2 linked regions of the Ovis aries genome follow. The protein of the gene in region 1 purifies or fractionates together with the protein of each later gene. This does not show direct contact. Links are inferred from orthologs where the notes say so. Each region holds a gene or a part of one and is shown in the gene's direction. Other genes may lie near its edges.

Region 1 (3,650 bases):
AGAATATATTCCTTGATTTACTTCAGAGCACGTTATTTAATATATTTAGATTCCAAAATTAGTCCAATTCTTTTCCTTTTGATTTTCATGAAAAAGAATAATTGTTCACTGGAAATTAAATATCAAATAAGTCTGTACTTTTTAAACAGGAGCATGAATCTGAAGGTGGAAGAACTCCTTTAATGAAAGCTGCACGAGCTGGCCATGTTTGTACTGTTCAGTTCCTAATTAGTAAAGGTAGGTTTGTGTAAGGCAGTGATTTTTTTCCCAGAGATGTCTATTCCCTGCCCTTGGGTATTAAGGGATTTAGAGGTAAAGGACATTTTGTGGGTATCATGTGATGGAGGAATGCTACTGAGATTTTTGTGAGTGGGTAGTTGATAAATACCCTGCAACACACAGAACCATCCATGAAGAGTTGTCATACTGGGTAACACACTTGTTGAGTAACATTTCAATAAAGAAAAATTTCTCTATGTAAATGAGGGTTTAGATTACTTGAAGTCTGTTCTATGTAATAATTTATCTTGAAACCTGGATTTTTGTGCCAAGTTTCTGCCACTGATTAACTTGAAGGCAAGACACTTTTCTCCTTTATTTATATTTCCCTGGGCCTAGGTTTCCTTCTTTGTAAAATATAAAGAAGTAATCATAAATATAGCACAGCCCACCCAAAAAAAGCTAAAAATTGAAATGGAAAAAATATGCCAAAAATGCATTTTTATTCATGGTCATTTATTCTATTTGAAAACCAACATCCTTATTAACAAAAGTAGCATATTATTACTTTCTTTAAATTATCTCTTTGGTATTTACTATATGAGTTCAAGCTGAAACTTTTTCATAAACTTTAGTATAGGAGATTAGAGATCTTACTTTTGATTCAGCATTGATAAAGAGAGACTATGTAGACGATATACAATTAAAAAGGCAATATATGCCATTTCTTTTTTATCAAAAATACTGAAGTTTGTTGATAAATCAGAAATAATTTATTGGTCAAATTATTTTAGGCAATTTAAACACTTGTGTTACATGTTTATGAATAACACATGTATTCAAGAATGAAATTATTTTCAGTTATTATCTCTTCTCTTCCTTTGTTTAATTTTAATGAATCTGATTCCAGTTTCTTCCTGCTATTTTTTCCATTTCCCACATGCCTCGCACAGTGCTGCAAATCAGAGATGAGAATTTTACTACTATTACTTCCTAGTTTTTGTTAATTCCTTCCATTATTTGGCCCATAGAGGGCAGTGTGAATTATTTATTTATTTATTTATTTATTTATTGGTTTTTAGTCATCTTGCCCACTGAAGATACAAAAATTTAGATAAAATTTTATATTTTACTTTTATAAAACAGTGATTATATTGAGTAATATATATTTTTATCCTTAGTTTTTAATGTTGCATACTTATACATTTATGGATGAAATTATGTTTGGGATTTATTTTAGAATAATTCAAGATGGGAGAGGAGAATGGATGTGGGTATATGTGAAATGAGATTGGCCATGTTTATAATCATTGAAGCTGGGTAATGAATATGTGGGGCTTCATTATCCTGTTCTCTCTACTCTTTGATTATTTTATTAACATTATTTTTCATGGATTGTCTGTTTTAGGAGCAAATGTGAATAGAACCACAGCTAATAATGACCATACTGTACTGTCCCTGGCTTGTGCAGGGGGTCATCTGGCAGTAGTGGAACTACTTTTGGCTCATGGGGCAGATCCAACTCACCGTTTAAAAGTATGTAACTGAAGTGTTTCAGGTAGCACTGTGAGTTAATCTTCACTCTTGAGCATAACACGTTATCTACAAGTTCAACTTGTATTGACATTCTGAATGTGTTCATTTTCTTTTTTTAGAGGAAAGTGTTCTTGACTAAAATTGAAACTGTAATGTGTCTGGGACCTGTTGGCTTTATCTTCCTTAATGGTTCTGTAAATTAATTTGAAAAACTGTTTTTTCCCTTTCCATATTCACTCTTTTAGGATGGCTCAACTATGTTGATAGAAGCAGCAAAAGGTGGTCATACAAGCGTTGTTTGCTATCTTTTGGACTATCCTAATAATTTGCTTTCAGCCCCTCCACCAGATGTCACTCAATTAACCCCCCCATCCCACGATTTAAATAGGGTAAGATTCTAAACTAAAGCATTTTATATTATATTATCTTTATCCCTTTTTTAGTCATAGTTCCAGATTAAACTAGAATGATTGTTTTTTGTTATAATACGCAATTCTCGTTAAAGATAATGTACTCAATACGGGTAATGACCTTTCAGTATAATACTCACGTTCTAGATTGATTTCATTTTGCTTTGCTTTCTTATTATGGCCAGAATAACCTTTTGATTTCCAAGTCTGTTTAAAAAAAATATCTTGGAGGGATTTCCTTGTCCCAGTGGATGGGACTTTTGTCGTATGGCCAGAAAAAGAAAAGTCATGGAAATAATTTGATACCAGCATATTTTAAGTAAATATGTTGTTTCCTGAGATTATGTTTAAAAATACTTTGAATGGATCTTCATAACTTATTCTTCATTCTGTGGCATCCAATCGCACAGTCATATCTGACTCTTTGCGACCCCATGGATTGCAGCCCACCAGGCTCCTCTGTCTATGGGGATTCTCCAGGCAAAAATACTGGAGTGGGTTGCCATGACCTCCTCCAGGGAATTTTCCCAACCCAGGGATTGAGCCCAGGTCTCCCACATTGCAGGCAGATTCTTTACCAACTGAATCATTTAAAGCATATTATTTAATGGAAGGTATAGGAAAGGCAGAAATATAATCAGTTTTATTTGTCTTAGGCTCCGCGAGTACCAGTTCAAGCACTGCCCATGGTTGTCCCACCTCAGGAGCCTGACAAACCACCTGCCAATGTTGCCACCACTCTTCCCATCAGGAATAAAGGTCAGTTATACTTCTAAAGCCTTCAGGTTGTCCAAGTAAAAATGATAAGATTGAAAAAAAATAGCCATTTAAAATTATTTTTCCACAAAGAAATGAATTTTACTAAGTTGGCATAAAAAATTTTTTTTAAACAATGAAAGAAGCATGTTATTGGGAAAGAACATAGTTGAGAGCACGGATTTGTGCTGGAATGAGAAATATTAATAGAAATTCAGATGCTCATCTTTGATGCAATTCTGATTATCTGTGATTTTCTCTAATAACTAGTAATTTCTATTCATGTTAAAATATTAGACTGGGTATAATCGGGTGACATTTTTGTAAATTACTGAAATTTCGATAGTGATATAAGGCATATTAATAGCTAGATCAAAATTAAATTTTATTTTAGAATAACTGGTTTAATATAGATTTTATATCTGAAATACCTTTTCTCAACCAAGAATTCAGAGTTACTTCAGATATGGTTGCTTGTTTCTTTAGAACTCTCAGGTCCATATTTTACTTGTGGATGTTACATCATATATGATTCATAAGTCATGTCCCGACACAGCGACTAGTTTGAATCAGATTTTCTTTTTAGAAAGTTTTACCTGAAGAACCAGTGTGGCTTTAACTTTTTGGTTTTTGGCTACCTGTATTATTTTACCAACAGTAATACTAAGTATTTCCACCAGTTCTTTTCAATCACTGCTACCAGTCTAGAGCCTTGGCACCTTTTTCAGT
Region 2 (3,426 bases), on another chromosome or scaffold:
TTTTCTGAAAACACAATTAACTTTTTCCTATTCCTGCGTGGGGAGGGGAGGGATATATTTATTTAATCACTGGAGGATGGGGTGGTCTCAATCCAAGTGCTCCCTCCTCCCTCAAAGGCATAGACGCCTCTGTCGCAGATCCTACGTAGGTGGAACGGGACGCGTTGTGCTGTTGGGGAGAGAGAGAGAGAGAGAAAGCAGAAGGAGAAGGAGGAAAAAAAGGTTGATAGGTTTGTGCGCGGGTCCCTCGCGCGGGCTGCGCTCCTCCTGGGTGCTATTTGACAATTCCTGCCTCTGCCATTGGTCAGTGTTGGATCAGATGGTTGTATTTCCTTCTGGCCCTCACTGGCACCTCGCCATCCCCCCTCAGCTAAAACCCAATCTCAGATATACTACTAATAGGCGCGGCGCTCGGACTATAAAACACAACAAATCATAAACCCGGCGGAGCAGCAGCGGCCGCGCGCGCCTCCCCTCCCAATGAGTTCCTATTTCGTGAACTCCACCTTCCCCGTCACTCTGGCCAGCGGGCAGGAGTCCTTCCTGGGCCAGCTCCCTCTCTACTCGTCGGGCTATGCGGACCCTCTGAGGCACTACCCTGCGCCCTACGGGCCCGGGCCCGGCCAAGACAAGGGCTTTGCCGCTTCCTCCTATTACCCGCCGGCCGGCGGCGGCTACGGCCGGGCGGCGCCCTGCGACTACGGGCCGGCGCCGGCCTTCTACCGCGAGAAGGAGTCGGCCTGCGCGCTCTCGGGCGCCGACGAGCCGCCCCCGTTCCACCCGGAGCCGCGGAAGTCCGACTGCGCGCAGGACAAGAGCGTCTTCGGCGAGGCCGAGGAGCAGAAGTGCTCCACTCCGGTCTACCCCTGGATGCAGCGGATGAATTCATGCAACAGTGAGTGAGACTTGCTGAGGCCGCCGCGACCCCCATGGGCTCCCTCCCCCCTAGAGTCAGAACTAGAGAGCCCCCCCACCCAATTCTTCCACGGAGAAAGCCTCTCGGGTTGGAGCTTAGGGAAGATTGGGCGCCTGCCTCGATCTCCCGCGCTGCCCTCACGCCCTCAGGAGTTGCAAAGTTTGCAAAGTCCCAGATGCACTCCGAGCCAGGGGGAGCGAGTGGGTTCTCTGCGAGGGCCAGGCAGCAGCCGAGATCCGGGTCAGGGAGGCAGACAGAGCCCGCGCAGCCACTGGCTGGGCTCTCCCTGGCGCCCCCAGCTCTGGCCCGGTCCCCCACCCCAAGACTGTTCATTAAAAACGGAGTACGTCATGGGAAGGGGGGCGGCCTGACGCTGGCGAGGGAGAGTTGAGTCTGTCCCGGACTGGTTTTCCCTGGGGGTCGGGGGCTGGGGAAAGAGGAGGCACCCGGAAAGGGGTGGTAGTCAGAGGAGGGGGGGAGAATAAGGGGAAGAAAGAGAGGGAGCGGGCGGAGTCGGAGAGAGGGAGAAGCAGGCGCCGGGGTCTCAGGTTGGATTATTTGTCGGTCTTAAATCCCAAATTGATGTCCATTAACGGGACACGAAAGTGAGGAGCCCTTAATGCTGACTACGGATCGATCCACGTCATTACAGATTAAGGGCCAGAATCTGTCACGGGGTGGTGGGGGCGCCAGATGGGAAGAAAAGATGCGTCTAGGAAGAGACACACCTGGCCAGTGCTTCTCCAGCCCCTCCCCCTAGGCTCAGGTGGGATTTAAAACTGCTCCTCCCATCCCCCCACCAAGAATCTAGACAGAAGGCAAAAGCCGAGGAGACCCGGAGGGAATCTGGAGGGGGCGCTGGAGGAGTGAGGAAAGGGGGGGGCAGGGAACCAGGGAGAGTGGAGGGCATCCCGGGACAGGCTAGAGTCCCCGTTTGAGGGTCGAATGGGGGAGGGGGGTTCTGGCCTTGGTGACCCCAGACCTCAACATCTCCTCTATGCGTAACAGGTTCCTCCTTTGGGCCCAGCGGCCGGCGCGGCCGCCAGACCTACACGCGCTACCAGACGCTGGAGCTGGAGAAGGAGTTTCACTACAATCGCTACCTGACGCGGCGGCGGCGCATTGAGATCGCGCACGCCCTGTGCCTGACGGAACGGCAGATCAAGATCTGGTTCCAGAACCGGCGCATGAAGTGGAAAAAGGAGAGCAAACTGCTCAGCGCGTCTCAGCTCAGTGCCGAGGAGGAAGAAGAAAAACCGGCCGAATGAAGGCGCTGGCAGGGGGCGGGGGGACGCGAAGGGAGAGGCCTGCGGGGAACGGAGGGCAGCGAAGAGCTCCGGGGAAGGCTCTGCGGGCGGGGGAGCCTGGGGACCTGGTCTCCAGAGCGCGACAGGCGGGGCCCCGCGCTCTCCTGGACGCCCCCGCCCGCAGAGCGCTCGCTGGGCGCTGGGAGGCCGTGCTGCCTGAGCCCAGCCGGCACCCCAGCGCCGCCTCCATGCCCGCACAACCGCCTCAGCCCGAACAGGCTCCCGCGTGAGAACTGAGGACCGGACTCACTTGATGTTTCCTGGAAGCAGAGCAATATGCTCTTGTCCGTGTCGCGTCTCATTTCGTCCATGTCGCCCGTGCACGGTTCAATGGTAGATTCGCAGTCCCCTCAGCGGGGGCCTCGAAGACTCCCTGACCCCAGACCTCTCTCCCAGCCCCTCCCCAAAGCCACTGGAAGGAGCACATACTACCTAGAAGTAAGAAGAGGAGCCTCAGAAGAAAACAAAGTTCTATTTTATTAATTTTCTATGTGTTGTGTTTGTAGTCGTGTCTTAGCTCTGGACGTGAAATACTTCGGTAATAATATTAATATTATTAATAATGATGATAATAATAAAGACGTAAAACCTCGCTGCTCAGTCACCTCTGCTCCTCCCCTGCCATTCCCCCACCCCCACCGCCACCCCTGCGTCCCGGTGCCGGAAACTCTGCAGCGAAGGCCGGAGCTCTGGTCGGCCCCAGAGGGCCAGACGCGACTCGGAAGTTACAGTTGAGATAAAGGCTGCAGCGGTCCGGCCCAGACTCCAACGCCGCGCCTCGCCGGTGCTGAGGCTCACAACGGCCTTTTCTGGTGCAGAACTGGGGGACGGAGACGAGTCGTTCCCCTATTATTCTCTAGCTTTTCTTCGTTTGTCCGTGGCAGGAGGGAACGCCACCGAGGCCCCCTAGCCGGGAGCTCCTGCAGAGACTGAGCCCGGCGGGTCTCTGTGCCTCAGCGCTGGGTTATGTCCGCAGGATCCCTGAGGCCGGTGATCTTTGGCCTGCCCACATGGCCTGATTTCCGCCGGCCTTGGCCCTCGGCTCCTGGCCTAAATTGGGGCCACCGGGTGTCTTGTCTCCCTGCCCACAGCTGCAGTCTCCAGGCGTCCCTTCCTGCCTCAAGTAGCGGCTCAGCGACAAGTAGGGGGATGTGAAGCCGCCGGCAGGCGCCTGGGCGAAGGGCAAGACTTTCCCCCTGCTCT

The links. Proteins that work in one complex are often made in the same cells at the same time.
Region 2: the proteins of ANKRD17 (region 1) and HOXB6 purify together in Homo sapiens (co-immunoprecipitation; 3 studies listed by BioGRID and IntAct, with this or other methods). This does not show direct contact. The link is inferred for Ovis aries from reciprocal best matches to the Homo sapiens genes ANKRD17 and HOXB6.

What each region holds. Positions count from the first base shown.
Region 1 is NC_056059.1:89,004,792-89,008,441, reverse strand, and holds part of ANKRD17 (ankyrin repeat domain-containing protein 17), read left to right. Parts: intron 1-149; coding exon 150-237; intron 238-1,627; coding exon 1,628-1,755; intron 1,756-2,000; coding exon 2,001-2,144; intron 2,145-2,821; coding exon 2,822-2,924; intron 2,925-3,650.
Region 2 is NC_056064.1:37,626,326-37,629,751, forward strand, and holds the end of HOXB6 (homeobox protein Hox-B6), read left to right. Parts: intron 1-370; 5' UTR 371-480; coding exon 481-895; intron 896-1,924; coding exon 1,925-2,184; 3' UTR 2,185-2,815; downstream 2,816-3,426. UniProt on the Homo sapiens protein: Sequence-specific transcription factor which is part of a developmental regulatory system that provides cells with specific positional identities on the anterior-posterior axis.